Linked DNA regions of Saccharomyces cerevisiae S288C. The protein of the gene in region 1 purifies or fractionates together with the protein of each later gene. This does not show direct contact. Each region holds a gene or a part of one and is shown on either strand. Other genes may lie near its edges.

The links.
Region 2: the proteins of EGT2 (region 1) and YBL036C purify together in Saccharomyces cerevisiae (affinity purification with mass spectrometry, with the first as the bait; one large-scale study listed by BioGRID). This does not show direct contact.
Region 3: the proteins of EGT2 (region 1) and ARA1 purify together in Saccharomyces cerevisiae (affinity purification with mass spectrometry, with the first as the bait; one large-scale study listed by BioGRID). This does not show direct contact.

What each region holds. Positions count from the first base shown.
Region 1 is NC_001146.8:16,796-28,083, forward strand, and holds EGT2 (Egt2p), read left to right. Parts: upstream 1-7,252; coding exon 7,253-10,378; downstream 10,379-11,288. Other genes in the region: AAD14 (putative aryl-alcohol dehydrogenase), read right to left, coding at 1-453; histone deacetylase RPD3, read right to left, coding at 1,206-2,507; PEX6 (AAA family ATPase peroxin 6), read right to left, coding at 2,746-5,838; MDJ2 (Mdj2p), read right to left, coding at 6,039-6,479; palmitoyltransferase PFA3, read right to left, coding at 10,542-11,288. UniProt on the Saccharomyces cerevisiae protein: Seems to be involved in the correct timing of cell separation after cytokinesis, as separation of mutant daughter cells is delayed.
Region 2 is NC_001134.8:147,506-157,370, reverse strand, and holds YBL036C (pyridoxal phosphate homeostasis protein), read left to right. Parts: upstream 1-6,150; coding exon 6,151-6,924; downstream 6,925-9,865. Other genes in the region: STU1 (Stu1p), read left to right, coding at 1-3,523; DNA-directed DNA polymerase alpha subunit POL12, read left to right, coding at 3,761-5,878; APL3 (Apl3p), read right to left, coding at 7,085-9,865. UniProt on the Saccharomyces cerevisiae protein: Pyridoxal 5'-phosphate (PLP)-binding protein, which may be involved in intracellular homeostatic regulation of pyridoxal 5'-phosphate (PLP), the active form of vitamin B6.
Region 3 is NC_001134.8:536,447-546,672, forward strand, and holds ARA1 (D-arabinose 1-dehydrogenase (NAD(P)(+)) ARA1), read left to right. Parts: upstream 1-3,540; coding exon 3,541-4,575; downstream 4,576-10,226. Other genes in the region: RTC2 (cationic amino acid transporter), read left to right, coding at 129-1,019; YSW1 (Ysw1p), read left to right, coding at 1,430-3,259; TBS1 (Tbs1p), read right to left, coding at 4,763-8,047; APD1 (Apd1p), read left to right, coding at 8,582-9,532; U4/U6-U5 snRNP complex subunit SPP381, read left to right, coding at 9,930-10,226. UniProt on the Saccharomyces cerevisiae protein: Catalyzes the oxidation of D-arabinose, L-xylose, L-fucose and L-galactose in the presence of NADP(+).

The DNA.
Region 1 (11,288 bases):
GTGAATGTAAAGTATATCAATCCAATCAGTTTGCAATTTGCGGAGAGAATCCCTCACACTCACATGTAAACTACGCTTGTGATTACCACAGTAGTTGGCACTTTTACCACCACCTACTTCATACTTCTTATAATCTCCGGTAAACTTGGTGGCAATTACAATCTGGTCACGCAGTTTTCTTGATGCCATCCATTCACCTATCCAAATCTCTGACTCTTCATTTTGGTAACTGTTTGCAGTATCAATACAATTACCTCCAGCTTCATAAAAAGCATCAAGAAGTTCAAAGGCCTGTTCCTTATTCATAGAGCCCATAAAGCCTGACCATGCGTCGCCGATTGAAGCTCCTCCCAGAATTAGCGGTGAAACCCTTATGCCGGCAGTTTTAGAAAGAACCCTGAGACGTCCCAATTCGGTAGGTGGTTCAGGTAGAGGTTTAAACAAGTCAGTCATGCTGAATAGTGGTTTTTTATGCAATAGACAATATGTTAAGTAAAATACAAAGCCGTTCAGCTAATTGGTTAGCTAGTTAATGAAGAGAAGAACAGCATGCATCCTTGACTTGGAAATATTGTCATACTTAAATATGGTTGGAAATTTTGCCCCCCGGTTTCCTTGAATACGAACAATGCAACTTATTTGAGTCTTCGTACGAGATCTGCTTACTGGTTTTGTACAGCGCTGAAAGCGAATTTGAAAATATATGCAATTAGAAGAGAGTGAATCAGATGAGGATAGGGTTAATACTGTAAAATTATTACCAAATATTGAATGACATATAAAAGTCGTAGTAACCGAATTTGTTTTTTATTATGAATAAAGACTTCTTGTTTTCGCATACTTCGATGATTTAAGAAATTAAAAGTCATTTACCCAGGCGTGATTATAAATTATATTGGCACCGCTTTATCAACAGCGGTGGGACGAGACGTTTAGATAGTAATTACAATAGAAATACAACTGTTTCAATATTAAAATATCTCTAGTATGTAAATAACACATATAGGCAATTTTCTTCGAAACGTATGGGACGCGGTTGATGTATGAACGGAACGCATCAATTAAAGGTTTGAGAAAAGTCTTTTGCAAAAAAATTGAGTTTGCACTTCTCATACACAATTGGATAGCGTCTTAAGTGCCTTTTATTCACTTTTCTTCTTTTGTTTCACATTATTTATATTCGTATATACTTCCAACTCTTTTTTTCAATAGAATTCATTGTCATGCTCAACATGTAGGTCCCTCGCATATTGCGAACCACCCTTCGTATCTTTAGCCTCGGCAGAATCTTCTTCAACATCACCCAAATCTTCGGCATCCCTAGGTGTGTGATTCAACTGAACACTAGGGGCATACTTTGTGTTTTCCAAATTAGCAAATATATTGGTCATTACCTTGTCAAGATATTCGGGAGTATTTACATTGAACATATTCGAAGGTCTAACACTTAACTTATAATCTGGACCGTAATATTCGTAATATTCATTGTACGGTAAATCTTTATCCAAGACAACGTTATTTAGTAGACCTGTTTCAAAGCACCATGTCCTTGCAACATTTCTCATAGTATAGCCTCCTCCACCAACAACCATCATTGGGATCCCAAAGGATTTCACATAGTTTACACAATTAGCATGGCCTTCCATGGAAAGATTAAAGCAACCAAGACGATCGCCGGACAAGGAGTCCCCACCACACTGTAACACGACAGCAGAAGGTTGATACCATTCCATAATTTTTTTTATCACAGGTTCAAACACAGATCTATACGTAGCATCGTCAATACCGTCTCTTAATGGCACATTGACCGCGTAGTTTTTTCCTGCACCCACCCCTATATCTCTCAGTTCACCTGTGCCAGGGAAAAACTCACCATATTTGTGGAAAGAACATGTCATGACACGATCCGTTGTATAAAACGCTTCCTCTACACCATCACCATGGTGCACATCAATATCAATATACAGAACTCTGGGGTGGTATCGTAGTAGCTCAATAATGCCCAGTACTATGTCATTTAAATAACAAAACCCAGAAGCTTCCGATTTTTTTGCATGATGCAAACCACCCGCATAGTTGACAGCAACATCACATTTGCCTCTATTCAGACGAGCAGCTCCTTCCATAGAGCCACCACCAGATATGCTACAGTACTCATAGAGCCCATCAAAGACAGGACAATCATCTCCGACATTAAACTTGACACTTTCTCTTTTAAACATTTCTAAATTATCTGGAGTAACCCTCGATAAAAAATCAATGTATTCATCAGTATGGAACTGACACATTTCTTGTTTCGTTGCCGGCTTAGCTCTGTAAATTTCCATCTTCTTGTACAAGCCATAATTCATAATAAGGGAATGTGCCATTCTTATTCTATGCGGCTTCATCGGGTGACCTGCTCCATATGCATAGTTCCCAACGTCTGCATCGTAAAAATATGCAACGCGTCTTTTATCGCTTGGCTTGACCGTGATCGGATCAAAAGGTGTTGCTTCATATACCATCTGCACGGATATCGAGTTGTAGCCACGAATGTTTTGTATGGCGCAATTGTTTTATGAACCTTTATGGTTATTACTTCAAATTTTTATTATGTATAATCAACTACTAGTATCTTTTCTGTTTTTCCCTTTCGATAGATACTATGAGCCGGGGAGGGTAAGTAAATAAAAAGATAAATTTCAAGGCAAAATATGGGACATATATTTACAAATTTACCTATACGCTCTGAGTTGATATTACTTAAGCACCTTCAAAATTAGCTCTCACCGCTTCATAATGATTCAGTTCAGCCCGCGACACACTTGGGGTGAGCTGCTCTTGTGCTTTCAAGAAGTCTTCCATTTTTACGACAACCTTAGTATCCTCTTTTGTCGCAATCTTATCAAACCAGCGACGTGTAGAAATATTCTCTCCCGTCAATTCGTTATGCTGAGAAACTTTTTTTTCTACCATGCGTGCAATTCTTGACATGGCGTTAAGCATTGCATCTGAGCAGAGAGCATAAAAATCTGCCCCGGTGTAATTAAATGGACATAGCTTTGCCAACTCAATAAGCTTTACGTCGTTGTCGAGCACGAATTTGCGAGTCAGAGCCTCTAAAATATTCAATTGTTTGGTATCCGTATCCGGAATGCCTAAATATAACAATTTATCGAATCGTCCTGGTCTTAGTAGTGCTTCGTCCAATAAGTCTGGTCTGTTTGTTGCTCCGATAACAAATACACCGTCAGCGTCGGTACTCATACCATCTAACTCTGCTAGTAACTGTGAAACGATACGATCCATAACACCACCCGAATCACCTTGATTACCACGTTTGGGTGCTACTGAATCGATTTCATCGAAAAATATGACACAAGGTTTAGCCTCTCTCGCCTTTTGAAACACTCTGCGCACATTAGCTTCACTCTCACCAATGTACATATTCAACAGTTCAGGGCCTTTAACACTAAAAAAATTTAAAGAAAAATTTGTTGCAATGGCCTTAGCCATTAGAGTTTTACCTGTACCCGGTGGACCATAAAAAAGAATACCGCTTCTCTTTTTCATACCTGAGGTAAATAATTCAGGATGTTTTAGCGGCATGTCTATTGTGTCCAATATTTCACCTTTAACAAAATCAATACCACCTATATCATCCCAAGTTACGTTAGGGATTTGTGGGGCACCAATCGAAACCGAGAATTCGTTCCTAGCTTTCGAAGTAGCTTTTGATAAATCCTCCTGAGTGATCAAAATTGATTGCGGAAGCCATCCACACTTCTTTGATTCTTGGTAAAAACGCGCAGTAGCCGTCATTCGTGCCGTTTCCACAATTGATTTGATGTCTAAAGGAGTTAAACCAGCAGAATATGAAGAGAGTGATGAAAATGAAATATTATCCATGTAAGATACTGGAACCTTTTGTTGAACATCTCTGTTTAGTTCATGTGAAGATAAGTACCACTGAAAGATACGCAGTCTCTGTGCTTCAGACGGAACGGGTACGAGAATCTCAAATCTCATATGTGATCTAAAGCTGGAAGGCACGTTATCTATGTTATTTACGGAGCCAACAAATGTAGTTCCTGGGAATTTAAACGTAAAATCGTCCAGAAGTTTAGACATTTCGAAGTTTATAGATTTTTGTAATTTGATTGCCTCTGGATCTTGATTAGCGTTTACGTCAAGCAAAATTGAATCCAAATGAGCCAAAAAAATCACAGCAGGTGATGCGTACGGTAGGACATTTTCACATTTAGCCCTAATGTAACCAATAATCTTAGATGTTGAATCCAGTTGTCTTGAATTTGAAGTGAGCGAAAGGCAATCTATCTCCAGTAGATGTATACCAAGATATTTTGAAGCAAATCTCACCATTGTAGCCTTGCCCACATTGTTTGTAGTGGAATGAAGTAACACAGAGGCATTTAGGGTGATTCCCCTTTGAGAACAATTGAAGGAAGTTTCTAATATGTTAACCAATTGTCTTACATAGGGGAAGATATGCAAATCATAGTAAAAAGTTTCAGCAAAACCGTAATATCTCTGAAGATTGGATCTACTCAAGGGTAATGGTCTTCTGTTAGTGATATTAGTTGTTATTAGCTTCGTCCGATTGGGATCAATAATAAAATGAGAATTATCTTTAGAGAAGCAATCGAGCTCTGCGCTTGTGACAAAGAACCATACAAGGGAATCGTTCTTGTAGTACTGCCCTAGCTCATCTTCGTCATCAGACTCATCATTTTCCTCTGCTATATTGAGATCAGCCATACTTGAATCAAAAGCGATTGGGATTAAATCATTTTGACAAAGAATCCTTTTGCTCTCGCTAAAAAACTTTTTCAAGGTTGTTAGAATAATATTTTGAAAGCATTTCTGAGATTGAAGCCAGCCTCCAACTCTTGAGATGAAAACTTGATTAGCAATGGGAATATCTGTATGGCCTATATTGGACTTTGATATTGTCACGACGCTGCAGTCTGGAAAGCTTGCTATTATTTTGGGAGGTGCGTATATTGTTCTTTTTTTAAAGCCGTTGGGGAGTAGTAAAACAAACAGCTTAACTAGCCTGACGCAACCCATATTTGACACTGTTATAAACGATCCACTTGTGACATCCAGGCGCAGTAGAGTTTCAGCGTCTGTAAAGGCATATATTGAATTATCATCATTGATGTGAGGTGCAGGTCGCAAAAGATCTCTTGAAATTGTGCAGGGGAGAGATTCAAGATCAATTGATAAAGCAGAATTTGTCCCTATTTTAGGTAATGCATATTCTTCATCTTCGTTAGCATATTTTAGAGCACTTAGTTTCTGCTCAGTATCATTTACTAATATCAATTGGGTTTCTGTAAAATCAACAAGGCCCTGCGGGAAAGGTGAGCAGTTTAAAATTTGGCAAAGACCAGATGTTAAAATATCTCGAGAATGAACCACGGTTTCCATGGAGTTGATGTTATATTTGTAATGCAAAAATTGTATTTGTTGCATCTCTTGCGGTAGGTCCATTAGTTTTGAGTACAATTGTTCATTAATCAGAAACGTTACGCTATCCAGTACAGGTACTACATTGTCTAATATGGGTTCAAAATAGCAAAAATCCATAGTGGGCTGTGTCGGCATAAACCCAAAAAGTTTGGAAGGTACAACAATGCTACAGAAGGGCAGTGAATCATCCAGGACACAATGTACAATTTTACCAGGCGTGCAACCTGGACCGTACTGAGGCAATCTAATTGTCCCATATAAACATTCAGCTTTTTTATCGCCGTATTCGAGATATATATCCCTAGAAATGCTACAGGGGGCGTATATTCCGGAGAGACTAAACGTAAGCGATGCCTTCATATTAATGTTACTATAATCGCTTTCTTTTGGAGGGTATGCAAACACATATATGCTCTCCACTACTGTTCTTTGTTCTAATTCTAATGACTTGTTTGAAAGTCTCCGATGGCCGCACTTTCCCGGAAGTGTTGACGATTATCGCCGTATACTATGTGGTGTAAGGAAGTGTAGCAATTGGCTACATGATATATAAAGTTCTTTTATCTCTTTCTTAGTAAAACACTTCTTTCGAGAACTTCTTTCGCCTCATTTATCTTGGCCGCCATGTAGGGACTCCCTCCTCTGTCTGGGTGGTTACGAACCATAGCCTTCCTGTGCTTTTTTTTCAGTAATTTTTCATCCAAGTGATTAATCTCTCTGGCGGAGATATCCAAGATGAGCAAGGCTTCGGGCTCTGTCATTCGCGGTGCAAAGCCTCCCTGGTACTGGTTTAATCTATTTTTCAGTTCTTCGTCTATCAGTGAGCTTTTGAACTTAAGTGCATCGCGGTAGCCCGCCGTCGGGTTTTCTATGCGAATGTTATTTAGTTTTGCAATAGTTAAAGGGGACAGGGTCTTGTAGACGGTCCATGCATTGAGACCAGACTTGACACTTAGAGCAACCATTGTCACGCCCAAACCAATTATTATAGGCAAAACCATGCTGGAATATCCTATTCTTTGTGGCTATACTGTGTATTGAGTGGATCCTAGCAACGAATTCGTTTGTTGTTATTTTTTTCTAGATTGTATCTCCGTTTCCGAAATTGTTATTCACAATGAGCGTTTACCTCTTGCAATAACAATAATCAGAGAATAAGCTACAAGACGAAAAATGACGTTGAGCGTGGCAGTAATGCCATAACGAAGATCAATAGTGTATGGGATGTTGGATATGTCGTTTCCCTGCCAAAGAAAAAGAAACACAAAAAAGAAAAAGCAAAAAAAAACAGTGCTAAGGATTTGATATTAAACGAAGTCCCACCATGGAGGATCATATCCCAATAAATTTATGCATAGAATGGTACCATTCACAACTAATATAGCCTCTGCTGGTTCCTTTAGTAACCTCTTTAGTAACCTCTTTAGTGAAATGGTTCTTGCTGGCTCTATTATTTTCCTAATTCGGACGCGCTGGCTCCGCGCCGTGAGGAAAAACAGCAGGCTGACAAGGGACTAATTTACTGACACTTTCGGCTGACACTTCCGAAAAGGTACTCAAGCTTTTATGAGTAAGATGCTGGTTTGATGCTAAGAATACGATTTAGTACTTCCTTTTTAATGTGGCTTGTTTTTTTTTTATTCGTCCATAACAGTACAAATATAAAAGCAGAATACATTCTTGCCGACCTAAAACTTGTGTCCTTAGACTCAAACTTTCTGATGGTTTTCTTTCAGTAGAATCAACATAAACAAGCATAATATAAAACACTACAATGAATAAACTATTGTTACATCTAGTACGAGTCATTTCGATACTCGGCCTAGCAAACGCTCTCACACAAACGCAACCGATTTTAAAAGATATTCAAATAACAGATAGTTATACCAAAACAAAAGAATGTACGGATCCAGATCATTGGTTCATAATAGAAGGGCAACTGTCTATTCCAAAGGGAAGTCAGCAAAATATAACATTCCAAGTACCAGATGCTTTCAGCTCATTCCCTCAAGAACCCTTCAGCATAAAACATAATTCTAACAGTGTTGCCACGATATCACGCCCAGATAAATCGACGAACAATTTCACCATTTCTATTCCAGAAAAGAGTTCAGAAGATATAACTACTACATTTAACTTCCTTGCACAGCTTACATCAGATGCTAAATCCAAAGTTACAGAACCAAAAAGCATCGTTTACAGTTTCTATTCAGAAAATACTATGTTTAATGACGTTATTGATTACGTCGCTAAAAATACTTCTGCTATAACAACAGATGGTGGTATATACAAAACTAATAATACCGCCTGGTTTACCGTTGACTTACCAATGAGAACGTTCAGAAATCCCGTTTATTTGACTTCTCAGACATCTTCCTCCTCAGATTACGTATTCGATACTTCGTTAACTAAGTTTGAGGTTGTCACTGCCGTTGATTCTTTTAACGAACCTATTAATGCTATCCCATATACAACTGTTCATGACTACTCCACAGAAGATGAAATTAGATGTTTATTTAATTCTACAATCAGCGGTGGGCTATACTTCCGTGTGACTTATTTCACAAAGAAGCTATCTACCTCGTCCATATCAAATACTGTCGAATTAACATATCCCGATGAAGGTACATCTGTCAGACTTTTAGGAAAGAGAGATACTTCAACCACCCTAGCCTCAGAATTATATTCTGAGTCAGCTGCTAACATTGATTCCACCACCAGTGATGACACAACTAGCTCTGATGCTGCTATAACACCAACATACTCAAATTCAACGCTTTCTTCTTATACTTCGCAATCATCCGCTATCCCTGAAGTTGCGGTTACTGCATCATTGAGTAGCGGGATCCTTTCTTCTACAGTTGACGGTGCTAGCACCTCGGCGGACGCTTCCATGTCCGCTGTCTCTACGGTTTCTTCTAGCAGTGAACAAGCTTCTTCTTCAAGTATTTCTTTATCGGCTCCAAGTTCTTCAAACTCAACCTTTACTACTCCTTCATCTTCTCTGTCTGCTACTGAAACATATAGTATTATCAGTTCAGCTAGTATATCTGTCACACAGGCTTCCTACATTGATAATTCTACAACTACCGCTGTTACCCAATCTACTTCTACTATAGCAGTTTCATCTGCTGAAAAATTGTCAAGCACTCTATCATACACCAGTAACGTCACAATATCAGTATCATCAGCTACCCAACATACTACTACTCCTTCATATGTTAGTAACTCCACTACACTCTCATCCTCATCTGTTCTTGAATCTGTAATTAGCTCTCCATACCTGGCAAACACTACTGTTTCAGGAGCTTCATCTGCAAGTCAATCTACTAATCCGCCATATGTCTCCAACTCCACAACATCATCCGCAACTCAATTAGCCACCATTGCTCCGTTCGCGATTAACATAACAGGAACAAGTATTTCTTCTAGTATCACTAATACTTCTTCAGTTAGTTCTACTACGTCCAGTTTATCATCCGGCCCATTTGTTTCAAACACAACGGTTGCCTCTGGGTCTTATATTCTAACCACTACTACAGAGTCTGCACAACTTACTGAAATAGGGAGTTTGATACCAATCTCGACTATTACTACTAGTACCACCACTTCTGGTACCGATAAAACTGGTAGTAATAAGGTGGCCTCTTCAACTGAAATAGCGCAATCTATCGTAAACAACAGTTCACTTTCGGTGTCAACAATCAACACTAACGCTGCGACAGCAGCTGCTAATGCCAGAAATGCTACTTTCACTCATGCAACCCATTCTGGTTCGCTTCAACCCTCATATCATAGCAGCTCACTATTATCGTCCACAATTGACACCAAGGTAACTACTGCTACTACAAGCACCAGTAGAGACGGTAGTTCGAGTTTGGCTTTCACCACTGGGCTCAATCAATCCGTAGTTACCGGTACAGATAAAAGTGATACCTATAGTGTAATTTCATCCACAGAATCAGCCCAGGTTACGGAGTACGACAGCTTACTTCCAATTTCCACCCTGAAGCCTACAGTCGTTACAGGTACAAGTAGAAACAGTACCTTTAGTATGGTGTCCTCCACCAAATTGACCGAAGCTACTGCAACGGATAAAGGTGATGCGTATAGTGTAATTTCATCTACACAGTCGGCTCAAGTTACTGAATATGGAAGTATGCTTCCAATTTCTACGCTGGAAACACCAACAGTCATTATGAGTACCGATGAAAGCGGCTATTTTACTTTAACTACATGTACTGAGTCTGGGCAAGCTACAGAATATGGTAGTCTGATTCCAATTTCCACACTAGATGGTTCAGTTATATATACATTTACTGGCGAAAGTGTAGTGGTGGGTTACAGTACCACAGTGGGTGCCGCCCAATATGCACAACATACAAGTTTAGTCCCAGTATCTACCATCAAGGGTTCCAAAACTTCTCTTTCAACCGAGGAAAGCGTAGTGGCTGGCTACAGTACTACAGTGGGTGCCGCCCAATATGCACAACATACAAGTTTAGTCCCGGTATCTACCATTAAGGGTTCCAAAACTTCTCTTTCAACCGAGGAAAGCGTAGTGGCTGGCTACAGTACCACAGTAGATTCTGCCCAATACGCCGAGCACACAAATTTAGTTGCCATAGATACATTGAAAACTAGCACATTCCAAAAAGCAACAGCAACTGAGGTTTGTGTCACATGTACCGCCCTTTCTTCCCCTCATTCTGCAACTTTAGATGCAGGTACTACTATTTCATTGCCAACAAGTTCCAGCACATCTCTATCTACAATAATTACCTGGTATTCCTCATCTACTATTAAGCCTCCTTCAATTTCTACATACTCGGGCGCCGCTGGTCAATTAACCATCCGTATTGGCAGTTTGTTGCTAGGGTTAATCTCATTTCTGCTGTAAGAACTATTTTATCAAATAGAAAGTTATAAATAAAAACTAAGAGTTCTTTTGGTATAATGCATAAATAATTTTTTTATATAATGTTTGTAATTGTAATGATAAATTTTTATCATCTTGGATAATTTTCGTATTATCGTAACATTCATTCGTTCTAGTTTTATGACTAATTTGCATCGATAATTTCTACAGACGCCCTATCGGCTTCTAATGAGGGTCTTGGTGTTACTCTTCTCAGTAATTGATCTTCTAAACATCTACTACTTAGCAGTCGGTCTTGTACTTGAGGTCTTACATTAAAATATAAACCTTTTTCATCCTTTGTGTGTTTAGACTTTTTGTACTTGAAGGTCTCAATAGGAAGTATCCACTCTAACCAAGATGTACCCATTATATCTTGCCAGTTGGCCATTGAAGAACCCAAGTCAAATATATTCTCTAAATGCTCATTTGTTCCATAGCTGTCATTGAGGATTTCAAGATCCCTTCGATACCTTCTCATTCCGTGTACCTCGATAGTAGTTTGGTTTTTACAAACCTGATAAATGCTGAAACAGGTAAATGCTAAAACAGAAATGAAAACAGCAACCGCCAATAGGGCCACCCCTAATAGATGAAAATCTATCAATTCACGGTTGAAACTACCGGAGTTAAACCACGTCCCAAGCTCATAGCAAGTATAAATTAGGACTAAGAACGCGTATAATGTTGTGTACATTAAGAATTGAATAAAAAATTTTTGATTCCTAAAACCAGTGCATTCAGCGAACCAAGGGCAATGATGATCCATTTTCAATATGCAAACATCGCATGATGAACAATGATGACAGCGATCGGGCTTCCAAACATGGCATACTTGGCACACCCGAAATCTTCCATCATGTTTTAAGGTCAAACACCTTTTTGACATATA
Region 2 (9,865 bases), on another chromosome or scaffold:
GCTAAGGCAATCAAATATAATTGAATTAGACAACATTATATCCGGCAACATTCCCAAAGATAATCCAGAGGAATTTGTCACTGTAATAAAGGAGGTGCAGTTGATTGAGTTGATTTCAAGAGCTACCTCGTCGTTGAGGACAACGTTATCATTAACTGCATTACTTTTCCTCAAGAGGCTAATCCATATCCTAAACGATCAGTTGCCCCTATCAATATTGGACCAAATATTTGTCATTTTCAAGAACTTGTTATCATCTACCAAGAAAATCTCTTCACAAACTGCATTTCATTGTTTAATTACTTTGATCATTGATATAAATCATTTCCATAATAAACTATTCCAATTATCTTTTTTATTAATAAATGAGAAAACCGTAACACCGAGATTTTGCTCTGCAATACTGCTGCGTAGCTTCCTGATTAAGTTCAACGACTCCAATCTTTCGCTCAACAATTCAAATACAACTTCGCCAACCTCAAAGTTGGAGAATAACATCATATACATCGAAGAATGGCTAAAAAAGGGCATTTCAGATTCACAGACAACCGTTAGAGAGGCAATGAGGTTAACTTTTTGGTATTTCTACAAATGTTATCCTACAAATGCCAAAAGATTATTGAGTTCTTCCTTTTCTCCACAGTTGAAAAAAGCAACAGAATTGGCAATCCCTGCTCATTTGAATATAAACTATCAAGTTTCCAGGGTGTCCTCTACTGCCTCCGCCTCCTCTGCAACGTCTCGATTGTACTCTCACTCTTCGAATAATTCTTCAAGAAAAACCAGTTTACTGGAGCAGAAAAGGAACTATCCAAGTTATGCCCAACCGACTCAATCTTCCTCCACCTCCCTACTCAACGCTCCTGCAGTCACAGCTGGTGGAAGTGTCATAGCCAGTAAACTATCAAATAAGCTGAAAACAAACTTAAGGTCTACTAGTGAATATTCAAGTAAAGAAAATGAAAAAAGGGCAAGGCATCATGACAGTATGAACTCTGTTTCAAACAGCAACACCAAAGATAATAATAATGTTACTAAAAGAAAAGTTAGTGCCCCTCCTTCTTCTACTGCCGCCACAAAAGTATCTGAAAATTACACAAATTTTGATGACTTTCCGTCAAACCAAATCGACTTGACTGATGAGTTATCAAATAGTTACTCTAACCCGTTGATAAAGAAATATATGGATAAAAATGATGTTTCGATGTCATCTTCTCCAATCTCATTAAAAGGCAGTAATAAACTTGGTGAATATGAAACCCTTTACAAAAAATTCAATGATGCTTCGTTTCCAGCTCAGATCAAAGATGCTTTACAGTATTTACAAAAGGAGTTACTGTTGACATCGCAACAGTCATCATCAGCCCCAAAATTTGAATTTCCCATGATTATGAAAAAGCTACGCCAAATTATGATAAAGTCACCAAATGATTTCAAGCCATTTTTGAGTATAGAGAAGTTTACAAATGGAGTTCCCTTAAATTACCTCATTGAGCTATATTCTATTAATAGTTTTGATTACGCGGAAATCTTAAAGAATAGAATGAATCCTGAAAAGCCCTACGAGCTTACTAACTTGATTATAACTATCGCGGATTTATTCAATTTCTTGAATGCCAATAATTGTCCGAATGATTTCAAACTATACTATATGAAATACAAAACCACTTTTTTCAATTATAATTTCAAGTTACTTTTAGAGATTTTCCGTAACTTGAACATAAAACATGATAACACTCTGAGGTCAGGAACGAACGATCTCATGCCTAAAATATCAATGATACTCTTTCAAATCTACGGTAAAGAGTTTGACTACACATGTTATTTCAATCTAATTTTTGAAATTTATAAATTCGATAATAATCGTTTTAATAAATTGCTAGCTGATTTTGACATTGTATCTACCAAGATGAAAATCTGTCATGAACTTGAAAAGAAGGATGCCAACTTTAAGGTAGAAGACATCATTTCTAGAGAAAGTTCTGTAAGCTTCACTCCCATCGACAATAAAAAATCTGAAGGGGATGAGGAATCCGACGATGCTGTAGACGAAAATGATGTTAAGAAATGCATGGAAATGACAATGATTAATCCCTTCAAAAACTTGGAAACTGATAAAACACTAGAGTTGAAGAATAACGTTGGAAAAAGAACATCAAGCACAGACAGCGTAGTTATTCATGATGATAATGACAAAGATAAAAAGCTTTCAGAAATGACGAAAATAGTAAGTGTTTATCAACTGGACCAGCCAAACCCAGCAAAGGAGGAAGATGATATAGATATGGAAAATTCTCAAAAATCTGATTTGAATTTAAGTGAAATTTTTCAAAACAGTGGTGAAAATACCGAAAGGAAATTGAAGGACGATAATGAACCAACAGTAAAATTCAGTACAGATCCTCCAAAGATAATAAATGAGCCAGAAAAACTTATTGGAAATGGGAATGAGAATGAAAAGCCTGATTTGGAAACAATGTCACCAATCAAAATAAACGGGGACGAGAATATGGGTCAAAAGCAAAGGATCACAGTAAAGAGAGAAAGAGACGTAGCACTAACTGAACAAGACATAAACTCCAAAAAGATGAAACTAGTTAATAACAAAAAATCAGAGAAGATGCATTTGCTTATCATGGATAATTTCCCAAGGGATTCCTTGACTGTATATGAAATTAGTCATCTTTTAATGGTTGATTCTAATGGCAACACTTTGATGGATTTTGATGTCTATTTCAATCACATGTCAAAGGCAATAAACAGGATAAAAAGTGGATCGTTCACTATGAAACATATAAATTACCTGATCGAACCCTTGATTACTTGTTTTCAAAATCAAAAAATGACCGATTGGTTGACGAATGAAAATGGTTTTGATGAACTACTGGATGTTGCTATTATGCTTTTGAAATCTACTGATGACACGCCTTCAATTCCATCAAAAATATCCAGTAAGTCCATAATTCTCGTTCATTGTCTTTTGGTTTGGAAAAAGTTTCTAAATACACTAAGCGAGAATGCCGACGATGATGGCGTTTCGGTGAGAATGTGTTTCGAAGAAGTATGGGAACAGATCCTTTTAATGCTTAATAAATTTTCTGATTATGGAAACGAAATCTATAAATTAGCGCAAGAGTTCAGGGACAGTCTAATGTTATCGCACTTTTTCAAAAAACATTCGGCAACAAGAATTCTAAGCATGTTGGTTACTGAAATTCAGCCTGACACCGCTGGTGTGAAAGAAACATTTTTAATTGAGACCTTATGGAAGATGCTGCAATCTCCTACCATTTGCCAACAATTCAAGAAATCTAATATATCAGAGATTATCCAAACAATGAGCTATTTCATTATGGGGACTGATAATACTTCGTGGAACTTCACCAGTGCCGTGGTATTAGCTCGTTGTTTGAGAGTCCTCCAAACTACTCCAGATTATACTGAGCAAGAAACCGAACGATTATTCGATTGTTTGCCTAAGAATGTCTTTAAAATGATCATGTTCATCGCCTCAAACGAATAGAGAATAGCGTGGTAGACGCGTAATTTTTTTTTACCGTGACGCGTCTCACCAGAGTTTCTTAGTTCTTTCTCTTTTCTAAAACTGTAATAATATGAGCTCTTTGTAGACACATATAACATTTTGTTTCATATACATAATATATTTGCATATAAAAATATCAAGATAATTGATTGTCAATTGGTTCAACAAAGCTTGAAGGTAAATTTAGGCAGGAGCAAGTGACTGAAAAAAAAAAAAATGAGCGGATCTATCGATGTCATCACTCATTTTGGGCCTGATGCAGACAAGCCGGAAATCATCACTGCATTAGAGAATTTAACTAAACTGCATGCATTGTCCGTCGAGGATCTATACATTAAATGGGAGCAGTTCTCCAATCAAAGGCGTCAAACTCACACAGATCTGACTTCCAAGAACATAGATGAGTTTAAACAATTTTTACAATTACAAATGGAAAAGCGTGCTAACCAAATTTCATCGTCCTCTAAGGTAAACACATCCACAAAAAAACCAGTGATTAAAAAAAGTTTGAATTCAAGTCCCTTGTTTGGCCTTAGTATTCCAAAGACTCCGACTTTAAAAAAAAGAAAGTTACATGGTCCCTTTTCACTCAGTGATTCCAAGCAAACATATAATGTAGGCTCTGAGGCAGAAACAAATGAAAAAGGAAATAGTTCTTTAAAATTGGAGTTTACTCCAGGCATGGCAGAAGATGCTGTGGGTGACAGTGCTCCATTGTCCCACGCTAAAAGCTCGGATGCCAAGACTCCCGGCTCGTCGACATTCCAAACTCCAACAACAAACACTCCTACCACATCGAGGCAAAATGTTCCTGCTGGTGAAATTTTGGATTCTTTGAACCCTGAAAATATTGAAATATCATCTGGTAATCCAAATGTAGGCCTTCTTTCGACTGAAGAACCATCATATAACCAGGTCAAAGTAGAACCATTTTATGATGCTAAAAAGTATAAATTCAGAACAATGAGGCAAAACTTACAGGAAGCGTCTGATGTCCTCGATGATCAAATTGAATCGTTTACTAAGATTATTCAAAATCACTATAAGTTATCTCCAAACGACTTCGCTGATCCAACTATTCAATCTCAGTCCGAAATTTATGCTGTTGGAAGGATAGTTCCAGATTCGCCGACCTACGACAAGTTTTTGAATCCAGAATCGCTTTCCCTAGAGACCTCAAGAATGGGCGGCGTTGGAAGAAGGGTAAGGTTAGATCTATCGCAGGTCAACGAGCTTTCGTTTTTCTTAGGCCAAATTGTGGCATTCAAAGGTAAAAATGCTAATGGGGATTACTTCACCGTTAACTCTATTTTGCCGCTACCTTATCCAAACTCCCCAGTGTCCACATCGCAGGAACTGCAGGAGTTTCAAGCAAATTTGGAAGGTTCTTCTTTGAAGGTTATCGTGACCTGTGGCCCATACTTTGCAAATGATAACTTCTCCCTCGAATTGTTGCAAGAATTTATCGATAGTATAAATAATGAGGTAAAACCTCACGTCTTGATAATGTTTGGCCCATTTATAGATATCACCCATCCTCTGATAGCGAGTGGTAAATTGCCAAATTTTCCCCAGTTCAAGACACAGCCCAAAACATTGGACGAGCTTTTTTTGAAGTTATTTACTCCTATTCTAAAAACCATATCACCACATATCCAAACCGTATTGATACCCTCCACAAAAGATGCAATTTCTAATCACGCCGCATATCCACAAGCTTCTTTAATTAGAAAGGCTTTACAGCTGCCTAAAAGGAACTTCAAATGCATGGCTAATCCTTCATCTTTTCAAATAAATGAGATATACTTCGGTTGCTCAAACGTTGATACATTCAAAGATCTAAAGGAAGTCATAAAAGGCGGTACTACCTCATCAAGATATAGATTAGATCGTGTTTCTGAGCATATTTTACAACAGCGCAGGTATTACCCCATATTTCCAGGTAGTATTCGTACAAGAATAAAACCAAAAGACGTATCTACGAAGAAGGAAACCAATGATATGGAAAGCAAAGAAGAAAAAGTTTATGAACATATATCTGGTGCAGATTTAGACGTGAGTTATCTGGGACTAACAGAGTTTGTTGGTGGGTTCTCGCCTGACATAATGATTATACCCAGTGAATTACAACACTTTGCAAGAGTTGTCCAAAACGTAGTTGTTATAAATCCCGGAAGATTTATTAGAGCAACAGGTAACAGGGGATCCTATGCACAAATTACTGTCCAATGCCCTGATCTTGAAGACGGGAAATTGACGCTTGTTGAAGGTGAAGAGCCAGTTTATCTACACAACGTGTGGAAGCGCGCTAGAGTTGACTTGATTGCTAGTTGATATATTTAATTCAAACTTAACTAATGGAATAGCTCAAGGTAGCACCAAAAAGTATTGTTATACACCTGAACTATCGACCTTGAAACTGGCTCTATAACTTACTTATTGATTAAAGACCATAACATGATCAGTATCCGGGTAATAAAGTAACGTGATCAGAGGCCAGAGAAAATGTTCATAAGTAGAGACTACTCTTAAATGCATAATAAAAAAAAAAACTGATAGGCATCACTCTTTCCTTTTTGACTAAGATTCCAGCATCACATTGCAATATGTCCACTGGTATTACTTATGATGAAGATAGAAAGACACAATTAATTGCCCAATACGAATCTGTAAGGGAAGTTGTGAATGCAGAGGCAAAAAATGTTCATGTTAATGAAAATGCCTCCAAAATTTTATTATTGGTTGTTTCGAAATTGAAACCAGCTAGCGATATACAAATTCTTTACGACCATGGTGTGAGGGAGTTCGGGGAAAACTATGTTCAAGAGTTGATCGAAAAGGCAAAATTACTACCAGACGATATCAAGTGGCACTTTATTGGCGGTTTGCAAACGAATAAATGTAAAGATTTGGCTAAAGTGCCAAATTTATACTCTGTTGAAACAATCGACTCCTTGAAGAAAGCCAAAAAATTAAACGAATCGAGGGCTAAATTTCAACCAGATTGCAACCCAATATTGTGTAATGTTCAAATTAATACCTCCCATGAGGATCAAAAATCGGGCTTGAATAATGAAGCAGAAATATTTGAAGTCATCGACTTCTTCTTATCCGAAGAATGCAAGTATATTAAGTTGAATGGGTTAATGACTATTGGTTCATGGAACGTCTCTCATGAAGATAGCAAAGAAAACAGAGACTTTGCTACGCTGGTTGAGTGGAAGAAGAAGATTGATGCTAAATTTGGTACATCATTGAAATTGTCTATGGGGATGAGTGCTGATTTCAGGGAGGCTATAAGGCAAGGAACAGCGGAAGTCAGAATTGGTACCGACATTTTTGGTGCTAGACCTCCAAAAAATGAAGCTAGAATCATTTAGTAGGTTGAATGAACTGAGATTTTATACGAAGATCTTTTTTTTTATAGCATTACAACACAAAATGAAAATAAATAGAATCTCAAATATATATATATATGTGTGTGTGTGTTTATATATGTACAATGCGGATGATTTTCATTATAGTGAATTTGAGAAAATTTTACTTCGTAAGCACATTCTTTATACATTCGACAATGTACTTCGCCAGGGGACCGGCCGTCGTTGTTTTACAGGTAACATTAACTGTTCCATTTACCTGGTATTGTATCTTCATTAAACAACCGAAGTTTCCCTCACTTTTCGTATGAATAATACCCGAGACAAACAATGTACTACGAACACTGGTCTGATCGACTATATCAAAGCCCAACCTCTTCACTGTTTGCGTCAATAGTAGAAGTCCGTCTTCTAAACTGATTGTTTCAACTTTTCTAAAATCCTTGTTGAGCTTTATGCCAGATTTTTGGTATTCTCCCTCTTTTCCCAAAGCATCGCTCAAAGTCTTCCAACGGCTGATGAACTGTGCCAAATTCAAATGCATGCTAGGATTGACATCGCTGCTAATTAGTGTTGTAGTCATGCCTATGGCAGTTTTCAAATTGATAGTGTTTGTACTACCGCCACATTTGAAATGAATTGCCAAAATTGGACTATCTTCAACGTCGAAAGGTTTTCTTATTGAAACTTCATAGCTTTGCTCTGCCCTTTTATGGGGCCCAATAGTAGCAGTAGAAGGTGTATTAATATTCATAATTAAATACTCAGGATTACCTTGCGTTTTTGAAGGGATAATCTGTGTGGATAATCCCGTGATTTCCCACTCAGTCAGGTTAATGAAGGCAAGAGATATATGAAACACGTATGGCTGTTGTGCATCAGGAGTGGTTATCCGATAGAAAACTTTCATCAAAGATGATGTGAAAAGCACACCCTGCTTATGCGAAATCATTCTTGTGAAACCTTCCCTCCAATTTGGAGCGAGGATCTGCCTTGAATAATAAGAGTCCTTTCCTGAAAAGTCTTCAGATGAACTAATTTTGGAATTTACATCATCAATGGTGTTCCTACGAGATGGTGGGGGCATGGGAACCATGATCGACCTGGAAGAGTTTGCTCTTTTTGATAGTAAGTCAGGCGTGGAGGAGGATGCTTCGGATGGTGTATTTATTAAAGTTGTGCTACCCGCTGATGCCGGCAGTGACCCTAATCTCTTCAATAATGGATTAGATTTGCTGTTAAAAGGCGGCATTGGTTCAAATAAAATTTGCAAAATATCTGTATTTCCGTTCACCTTAGCCAGTTGAATAATGTTGAGATATTCGAAGGATCTTGTTTGCAACTCAATATCAAGAGAGTTCAATTCCAATTGGAAAAATTTGATGACGTTGGAGCCGATCTCAGGTGAGGTCTTGTACAACTTGATCATCGTAGTCAATATCATCGCCTTAGCCACATTTGGTGCACTAAAATATTTCTCGGCAAACAAAGTAAATAAATTTGCGCTTGAAATCCTGTCTGTTATGAGACTTGAGTACTCCCCTAGTAGAAAAGCCGCAGCTTTAATAATAGCTTCAGATGCTTGCTTTTTACATAAATAGTCCACCAACCGTTCACATGTTATTCTATGTAAAGATGGATTGTTCACTACAATTTGACATAGTCGTTGCCAGATCTCATCATCGTTAATAGTTGTATTTGAAGTTAATGATAGCAACTGCAACGAAATAATTACAAACCAATTGATATCCGTGGCATATTTCTCGGTCAAAATAGCTATTTTAACTGCAATATCAGATTTTATTTGCGGTTCAGCAAGATTTTTCGGAGATAAAATATACTGCAGTAAACCGTCCACAATAATCTTAACGTTTTCAACATCAGTAAAGGTATATAACAAGTCAACAACCTTCCTAACAATAGATGAATCTCTTTCTGTGTTCAAAAGATGAAAAATCATATCCAAATTCTTGTAACGAACGGCATCAATTGCAGGTTTCCCGCTTGATGAGCATAATTTGACCAATGAATCTAGCGTTAAATACCGAATATTAATTTCCTTAGATGTTAGCAGGGAACATAAGGCTGTCACAGAATTGCTGATAGCTTCATCCGACGGATCTAGCTTAGAGGCGAAATTGATCAATGAAAACAATACTGTGTTTTGGACGATACGTTCCATGGGATCTTGAGCTTGTCTGGTTCCTAATTCGATGGCAACGGAAACACACTTTCGAAGTTTATTTAGTAATTCATTATCTATGTTGTTGGTTTGTAGTAATGAGCCAGAATCCCTCTCAGTTGGTGAGGCAATCAATATGCTCAACAAAGAGACAACTTTTGTGATAAGCCAAGGATTTGGCATATTCGCGAACGTATATTCTAACGGAAACTGATTGTCACTAGATCTTGAAGTACCAACAACAACACAATTGTACAAAATTTCTGTTAGCTGTGGTAATAGTCTCGTACAGTAACTGGGATCAATGTATTTTGCAATGAATTCTATTAACGGAATCGTAGCTAAAGTTAACCTATAGTTTTCCGTATCATCCAATAAGCTTAATATCCTTTGTATCCATAGTTGCTTACGTTGTAAATCTTCGGTCAGTATAGAATGATTACTTTTCAATAGTGCTAGAAATGACAATGCTGATTTTTTCTTGAGATAAATGGAGGAGGTCGGTGATCTTAATATCTTGAATACTCCTGTTGTGATATCATCGTTGTACGCTAGACGGTTCGTAAGTTCTCCTACTACACCAACAAAATTCAGCGCCAACATTACGAAATTATCATCGGAAGAAGAGAGATCTTTCATCAGTTGATAATTCACCTCATCGTTAACTTTGGCAACAACTTCACTACGTTCATAAAGCAACTCAAGGGTCATATATCCAATGAATTTTTCAGAAAATATGCTGGACTTCAACAGCTCTACCGT
Region 3 (10,226 bases), on another chromosome or scaffold:
TAAACCATAAATACTACAAATAACACCGGGTTCAGGCATATAAATAAACTATTCTCCTGTAATATCCCACAATATTTTGTTATAACCCAGACGTAATAGCCTCAAGCGAGCATCCCTAAATTTCTGCCATGAAGCTGATCCCAATTATTTTGAATGCTAAGAATCTCAGTGGGATGGCTGGATCCATATCAATATGCTGTTGGATTGTTGTGTTTGTACCACAGATTTATGAAAACTTCCGAAGACAGTCTGCGGAGGGATTATCACTGCTTTTCATTGTGTTGTGGCTATTAGGTGATATATTTAACGTCATGGGAGCTATGATGCAAAATTTACTCCCAACCATGATAATTTTAGCTGCTTACTATACATTGGCAGATTTAATTTTGTTAATACAGTGCATGTGGTATGACAAGGAGAAGAAGAGCATTTTACAAGAAGTCAAGAAAAATGTTGATCCTGTGCATTTGCCTCCAGCAAACCCCATAAATGAGACTGTCTTACAAGACGTTTTTAATGAATATGAGCCACTTTTGCCAAGGATAGAAGAAGAAGATAGCCAATCGTATAGCTCGCTTGAGCTTGGCAGAACAATAGTCGTAAAGGAAAGAGAGAATTTTTTCAATGACTTCTTAATTGTTTCAGGTGTACTTATTGCCGGAATTTTGTCATGGTATATATCTTACTGTTCCGGCCTAGATAACGGTATTCCTAAAAAAAAACCTGCGTTCGAACAGATTAATTTACCTGCACAAATTTTAGGGTATTTAAGTGCGATACTGTACTTGGGCTCTAGGATCCCTCAGATTGTTCTTAACTTCAAAAGAAAATCATGCGAAGGAGTCTCATTCCTATTCTTTTTATTTGCATGCTTAGGGAACACTTCTTTCATAATCTCAGTGCTCTCAGCATCTTGGCTTATCGGTAGCGCTGGTACGCTGTTGATGGACTTCACAGTTTTTATTCAATTTTTCCTTTACGCCAAACCTAAATACGAGAAAATACTAATAGATAATTAACTAGTTGGCTTCTATTAATCTTTCCACTTAAAACTCAAACTTACTCATATGCGCATCGGCTATAGCCCAGAACTAGTATTTTCATTTTATGGAGGAAACAAAATTACTAGCGCCATCACGGCTCAGTCGTTATTTTGGCGATGCCCTTTGCTGACACGCGTCTGAAAAAATACACAAAAAATAACACAAAAACGAGTAATGCCATTTCCTGGGTGGGGTCTCTATCCATAGAGGAAAAAAAGTGACAGGAAGGGGACAAATTCAACTATTCACTGTAGTCATCTAATAATTTTTTTAACTTAATCACACCAACAAAAACAAAAAAAAGCTAAAACTAGGTTGAAGGATTTTAAGAGAAGTTATTGCACCGGTGTATTAACATATATAAGGATACGTACGAACATAACATCATGTCCAGCTTAGCCGATACAGTAGAGGGTAGCGAGGCCAAACGCGGCAGATTTTCCAACAATGCATTAACCTCCGATACTGGTATTTTACAGAAAAATAGTACATTAAGAAACTGGTTTTTAAAACCGACAGCAGACCTAAAAAATAGTTGCGAAGATAGAGTTGAAGATGACGTCAATGATGTCTACTTAAATGACAAAAACTCACAAAAATCTGTTGAAGAAAGAAAACTAGGAAGAAAAGTTAGATCTTTTTTCAAACAAACAAACTCAAATAAGGACGAGTCTGTGTTGGAAGATGAAGATGATGCGTTAGTTTGGAAGAAAACTAGCAATAAGTGTGCAAAAAAGGAAAATTCCCATGACATCCAAAAAGGAAGTTTCACAAAAAAAATCAGAAACAGTATTTTCAAGAGTGCAAATGACGTGAAAGAATTCAGGAATGAAAATAACTTACTATTGCCCGTTGAACTTTCTTCTGATGATGAGAATGAGTCTCATTTCACTGATGCTAACTCACATGTTATGCAATCAAAAAGTCCCGAGAAAATACCTTCCAAGGATCAATGCTTGACTAAAGGCGCTAAGAATAAAGGTCTGAAAAAGGAATATGAAAAAAGTTTTGAAGAGTATAGCGACGACAGTGACGATGAATTTTCTCCTGCTACTCCACCGGAGAATGTTCTTGAAGGTCCTTACAAATTTGTGTTTCAGACACCAAACACATTTACATCTCAGCCTAATATAACAGTAGAAAATGATTTTCACAAAGGTGGGAGACATGTGATTGACTATCTGAACAAAAAATTGGCTACTATGAACATTGATATTGATTTGACTTCAGGGGGGAAACAAAACGTATCTTGGGAGGAAGAGCTCGACCAATTGAGCGACCACGTTATAGAAAGTATTACTAACCACATTTCAAAGGGTAGAATGCACGCACAAGAGAAGCAAGATGAGTTGGAAAAGTTAAAATTGGAGAATTTGAACTTGTCAACATTAAAGCAAGAAAATCTCCAACATAAGCAGGAAATTAACTCATTGAAAGACAACCTTGAATCCATTAGTAAAAAAAACAATGATCTTATATTGGAAATGAACAAATTGAAAAAAAAAAGTACGAATAATAAAACAAATGAGTACATATCTACGGATGAAAACGAAAATGAGGAGATTACCAAATCCAATATGGGTCCTGGCATTTTAGAACTGAACGTCAACGAAACTTCAAAAAAATTACAGCAATCCACATTCAAACCCTCGAAATATCTTCCAAGAGAAACGAGAAACAATGAAAATAGATTAAAACACTTGGAAAAGAGAATATTTGGCTTAGAAAAATCTCTTGAAAAAAAAAAAAAACAGGTAAGGGCTGACAGCGTTAGATTAGACTTGAATAGATATACTATCGACCAGTTTTTGACATTACTGAAAAGCCTCAGCGAGGTTTTGCAATTCCACAATGTTTATGGCAATGATTTGAAGGAAAACGACGATAATATTATAAAGATTGAAACCTGCTGTAGTGCGCTAAACATGAAAAATTGTTTCGAAGACTCCTCATTTCGTTTACAAGAAAACAGCTTCAAGAGGCAATTGGGCCCTCTGTTCGCAAACATCAACTTCTCCTTAATCGACCAACTGACAATGAACTTCAGGTTCTACGAGAGATCTGCCAATTTCCAGAAGGAAACAATAGGTGGGTTAAGAATGATGCTACAAGATAAGGATAACTATATCAAAACACTGATGCAACATTTGAAGAAAAAAGAGAGTACAAAGTTGATAAAAGACAGCAAGAATGGCGCCTCCACCTTAACATCTTAACAATTTCGTTTACTGAAAATGCTACTAGTATATAATCATTAAGTATCTAACTATCACTCAATAAAAATATTATAGATCGCTTAAAAACTCGTTTATTGCCGATTATAAATCCACCAAAAGCCGCTCTACCCTTACCTCCGCCTGGAAAAATTATAATATATAAAGTGAGCCTCGTAATACAGGGGTAAAAAGGAAAGAGGGGGATATCAAGCATCTGGACTTATTTGCACTATCTCCGCCTTCAATTGATAAAAGCGTCTTGATTTTAATCAACTGCTATCATGTCTTCTTCAGTAGCCTCAACCGAAAACATAGTCGAAAATATGTTGCATCCAAAGACTACAGAAATATACTTTTCACTCAACAATGGTGTTCGTATCCCAGCACTGGGTTTGGGGACAGCAAATCCTCACGAAAAGTTAGCTGAAACAAAACAAGCCGTAAAAGCTGCAATCAAAGCTGGATACAGGCACATTGATACTGCTTGGGCCTACGAGACAGAGCCATTCGTAGGTGAAGCCATCAAGGAGTTATTAGAAGATGGATCTATCAAAAGGGAGGATCTTTTCATAACCACAAAAGTGTGGCCGGTTCTATGGGACGAAGTGGACAGATCATTGAATGAATCTTTGAAAGCTTTAGGCTTGGAATACGTCGACTTGCTCTTGCAACATTGGCCGCTATGTTTTGAAAAGATTAAGGACCCTAAGGGGATCAGCGGACTGGTGAAGACTCCGGTTGATGATTCTGGAAAAACAATGTATGCTGCCGACGGTGACTATTTAGAAACTTACAAGCAATTGGAAAAAATTTACCTTGATCCTAACGATCATCGTGTGAGAGCCATTGGTGTCTCAAATTTTTCCATTGAGTATTTGGAACGTCTCATTAAGGAATGCAGAGTTAAGCCAACGGTGAACCAAGTGGAAACTCACCCTCACTTACCACAAATGGAACTAAGAAAGTTCTGCTTTATGCACGACATTCTGTTAACAGCATACTCACCATTAGGTTCCCATGGCGCACCAAACTTGAAAATCCCACTAGTGAAAAAGCTTGCCGAAAAGTACAATGTCACAGGAAATGACTTGCTAATTTCTTACCATATTAGACAAGGCACTATCGTAATTCCGAGATCCTTGAATCCAGTTAGGATTTCCTCGAGTATTGAATTCGCATCTTTGACAAAGGATGAATTACAAGAGTTGAACGACTTCGGTGAAAAATACCCAGTGAGATTCATCGATGAGCCATTTGCAGCCATCCTTCCAGAGTTTACTGGTAACGGACCAAACTTGGACAATTTAAAGTATTAAGACAACGACTTTATTTTCACTTTATTTAGTTCGCTTCTTAATCTTGTCAAAAACAAGATATTGTGTAATCGCCTCAAGTAAACAATATGTTTTTCATACGTGATTTGAAGTTTTTAAGTATCTGAAATACATACGCGCGCGTATGCATATGTATTAGTTAAATTACTCGAATGTCCTTTATATAATATTACATTTTTACACACACATTCTTGAAGAAGAAATCCCGATCGTAAAAAAAAACACCGTGCTCCAAATGGCCTTCAATCTTTTCGAATAATTTATTCGATTGTTCATTCTCATCTCTATAATCATTCGCCGTACGTTCAGGATATGACGCATCAAGCAGCGAAGCTAAACCTGTTGGAAATAAAGATCTGTCATAGTCATCGTCTTCTTCATCATCATCAGCACCATTATTACTATAATCATCATCATTGTCATCATCATCATCATCATCATCATCATCATCATCATCATCATCATCATCATCATCATCATCATTAATATTGTTGTCATTGTCATTATTGTTACTGTTACTGTAGTTATTGTTATTATTATTAATAGTACTACTACTATTATTGCCATTTTTATTATTATTATTATTATTATTATTATTATCGTCAGTATCATCAGCGCCAGTAGTCTCGTTATTATCAGTATTGGTACCATTACTATGATGATATTCCTCGCCTGGCTCAAGAGTTTTATTTTCCCACAATTTCGGAATGCTTGAAAATTGCAAGAAGTTCAAATCCTGGATTGTTATTTCATTGAAAATATTGAAGGACACTTCCATTTTTTCTTGGTCCTCTGTAACGAAACTACCAAATGCAGCCATCTTCTCTTTATTTATGAACGAAGTTTTCAAGAGCTCGACCATATCATCTTTTGATTCTCTCGTATGCTTAACTAACCTATTGAGAACACCCTCATAATAATTTGAATCAAAGGCATAGAATTTTGCGTATTTACTTGTCAGATTGAACTTTTCCATCGTACTCCGTAGAAAAAAAGTGTAAAAAAAAAGAGATGTTTGCCACTTCAGATTGTGTACTGAAAGACAGCGTTCTTCAGATCCAAGCATACGGGTATGTGTATCCCTCAATAATCCAATTATATAACCAGTCTCCATGGCATGTTCGTCATTAACCATAATCTCTGACAAATACAGAAACATGGAAAAAACCGTTGTGAGAGAAAAATACAGAAACTCATTCTGAACAGTAGGGTAGTATTCAAAATCTTTCAAAATATTAAGTACTTCGATGCAATTTCGCTTGAAATCCAATCTTGACCTTCTAATAATTTCAGCTATATCATGCCGGGAACTTTCCCGTTGATCTAAGTTATCTCCAATGATGGATATGACAAATAAACTCAGGGTTATCTTTTGATGGTACCATCTGAGGTGTAATAGAATAGTAGTACAACAACTCACTTCAAAATCTAACTTCGAAGAATCCAAAGATAAAATCCTCATGTTTTCCTTGTAATTTTCTAATGATAATATGGTGGGCAAATCGTCTCGCATTCTATCTAACGCCTTTTGATTTTCCAGTACATTTTCAATGATTTCATCTAGTGTATCGTCTAAAGTTGTTCTGATGGAAAAACATGAGTAATATATTTGAGACTCTATGAGGGATAATCTCGACAAAAAATATGATTGAATGTATGGTACATATTCAAGGTGATTCGCGAGTAAGTTTACAACGGATACAATATCTTTCACCCCTTCTAGTTTTGAATCATCGTATTTTATAGAAAGATTGGGCAGAATTTTATCTCTGAATAGTTCAACATAGCTTTCATCTGTTAATACATCAGTGTTTTCCTCCTTGAGAAAGGGCGGTCTTGACAACACCACAGAAAAGAATTTGTCTGTTGAAAAACAATAACACCACAAGCGTCTTCTTTTAATGATTTCATCAAGTTCTAGATCCTCATAGGTGGAATGTAAATTGAGCCGTAAATCCAAAGCCACTTTGATAGCAACGGATAGTACTTTGACCGCTGATGAAGCACTTATTTTTTGTTGGGCAAACTTTGCCAGTAACAGTAATGCCTTTAATGCCGTCATATCTGCGCGTGCTACAGACAGTTTATGGTAGTAATAGACAGAATTGAGAAAAGTGAAAGATCTGAGTCTCCATAATTCGAACTTCTCAAAATAATAGGTTTCATGATTATCTTCATCAACTAGCTCCTGCTTCTCCTCAAAATTTGTAACGGTGGCCCCAAGGCAGAGGCAGATATTTAGCAAAAATGCCTGTGATGATGTCAATCTTCCTTTAGCAGGATCAAAGTGCACGTCGGCAAATTGCAAACATTGATCTACATCCACTATGTGGAGAAGAGAGGCTAATGATGGACATTTTATATTTTTGAGCAAACGCTTTGCAATTGCTAAACGGGGCAGAGGATACAAAATATTATCACTAGATGGTGATGATGCGGATCGGAAAGAGAAGTCCAGGACCAGCTTGGTCTGTAAAATAGAATATTTGAAAGTAGTAGTAAACATTTCATTAATGGGCGAAAGAAATTCTTCGTCAGTTAAATGTGATAAAACATTTTGTCGAAAATGAAACATTTTTTGTTTTGTTAACAAGGCCTTTGAATATTGCTTTCTTTTAGGCCTTTTCATGTATTCTTTATCAATGACGTCAATTTTGCTTTTTTCAGCTAGCTTCTCTATTGTTCCCTTCATGTTTTTACAAATCTCTTCCAAAACAAAAACTTTCCCAGCAACCTTCGTATGGTTGAGTTCAATTTTTTCAAGCACTGTCCTGTCAATAGGAACAAAGTCAGGCCAAGTATCTTCTTTATCGCTTGCACTTTTGCCGGCAGAAACTCCAATATATTCTTGTGATAAGTTGGTGTGTAATTTCGGCGAGCTGTCTGTAGAAGAAGTATTTCTTGATCGCACGGCGATATCAAAATTTTCATCCTTGAACTTATTCTCCTTATCCAACCTCGGCTTCTTAACCGACTTCCCATTTCCCTTGTTATTCAAAGCTTCTTCTCGCCTTCTTTTCAGTTCTTCATGGAAATGAAACGTGCAATCTTTATTATACTTGATACAGTTTCTACATTTACCAGAAATCGGCTCGATTTCCGTACATCTAATCTTCCTCTTCCGACAATAATCACATGCTTTAGTCACTCTACTTTTGAAAGACTCCATGTTATATGCCAGAAAATTCTTATCAGCAGGCATCATATGAGCTAATGGGTGATGTCTTAAACGGTGATCCGGAAAAGGGCTCAACTGAGGCGACATTATTGTACCAGTTGGAACAGGCGGAAAATTTGATGGTACTGGAGGCATCGCAGGGACAGCGGGGCCCATTAAAACTCTTGTATTTTCGACTCTTTGATTATGTTTCTGGTTAGCTGCCCACTCAGAACTTTGCTTTTGTGTCTTATCCATGCTTCCATGACTACTTGTAATACCAGAATCCATATTCATTCACACAACTCCTGCTGGGCTTGTAATCATTGTTAACTTAAAAAAGAGTAGTCGTAATATAAAGTTTACTCTATTTTAAGTAGACTTTGGGCAGTGGCTGAAAATAGGCATGATAAATCAACATTTTCTGGCGGAGTAGGGTCAAAATGAAAATGTGGACCCTTTAGGGTATTATAAATATTTTTTAAAGGGCAATTTGAACTTTTTAGGTGCAAAGAAAATTCTGAAGGTATAAAAAAGAGGGTTCACCGGTGCTGCGGAAATAAAAGCGGAAATAAAGATGGAAATAAGGGCTAAAAGTTTCTTAAAACAAGTGCAAGGAGAGGGAGAGTTCCACTCTTGGCGCTGATGATATCTTCTATTTATATTGTTGAGATCATATGATGATAACGCAAAGTTGAAATTCTAACCGAATAGTAGTATAACATACTGGTTTTCTTTCTGTTCGAGGTATAAGAAAAGAAAGTACTTGGCTATATTCGGAGGAGGCAAGAAGGCGGCCAAGAGAGAGATATCTTCTTTGTCCTTTGAATTATGGCTTTTTTGAATATTTTCAAGCAAAAACGTGGTGATGAAGCTTCACAACTGAGCGCAAAGGGACGGGAGGAAATTTCTCAATCGATTAAGATATGCAAAAGTGACGATGCTGCTAACGAACATAGCTGCTCTGGTGATTGCAAAACAGAAATTGAAGAAGGAGAGCAGGCCTTTGCGAAACTAAAGATCGAACATGAAACTCCTTTGTTGAACTCTTCTAAAACGCCAAAAATTCACTTCGTTGTCCCCACCTCTCAAATCGATTGGCAGCATGATGCCTGCCTCGAGGACCCAAAGTCAGTACAGTATAAAATTTCCCAGTGGTGTGATAAGAATTCAGCTAAATTTTCCAACGTGGGCACAGGCAAGACACTAAACTGTGCAGTTTCATCTTTACCTAAAGATATCATGGATATTGATGTTATGCGGGGAACCAAGAATAATGTACTTATTTTGCCTTACTTCATTTGGCTGAACGACCTTAGATCAGATGACGTCGAAGCAACGCTGGATGGTTTAGTTCCTGACTTATTAGACGAGAATATTTCAAGAGAGAAATTGCTAGAAACACGACCAAATGTTGCCGTTGCACGTGAACGTGCATTTGTATTTATATGTTCACATACTACGAGGGATAAACGATGCGGGATTACGGCACCCTATTTAAAGAAAGTTTTTGACAGTAAATTACAGGAACATGGGCTGTATAGGGACAATTCGGATTACAGGGCAGAGGGTGTCAAAATTGCATTTGTTAATCATGTTGGTGGTCACAAATTTGCTGCAAATGTTCAAATTTATTTACGAAATCCAAATACCTTAATTTGGTTGGGAAGAGTAACTCCAACCATAGTTCCTTCTATTGTCGAACATCTGATTGTTCCTGAAGAACCAACGTTGCCGTTTCCCGAAAAAGTTCGCTGTATTAAGAAATATCAAAGCTGGTAAAGGTTGGCCAGCAAAATACAATCTTTTGACGCCATAAAATTTGCCATCAGAGTAGCTTTTAAATGTACATAGTTCTAAAGCACGCATATATATTTATAACGCTAAGATGATAATGAAAAGTTTTATTTGCAAAAGGGATCCTGTATTTCAACTTTCCATACATGAAAGATTCTTTGGCCATTTTCTTAATCCATTTCATATTTTCATCTGATTTTTTTTCTGTTTTCCACTTGCTGCTCATTATTTCATTTTATAATTTTTGCAAACATGCAATATTTCGCCATATATTGAGAAAAGCAATTCTTCGTTGTTCCCAGTAAAGAAAGAACAAATGCAGATTTCTACCGCCACCGCTAGATTAAGAATTTTTTTTGGTTACTGATTTGAATCACATACGATGAGTTTTAGACATTTCAAGAGGAGACTTGACACAAGCTCAGCAGATGAAAGCTCTTCGGCGGATGAAGAGCATCCAGACCAAAACGTATCTCTAACAGAAAAATCAGCCTCATTAAGCCATAGTGATTTGGGCGGCGAAATTTTAAATGGTACAGGAAAGAACCGCACCCCCAATGATGGCCAAGAATCAAATGAAAGTGATGGGAGTCCCGAAAGTGATGAGAGTCCCGAAAGTGAAGAAAGTAGCGACAACAGTGATTCGAGCGATAGTGACGATATGAGACCTTTACCGAGG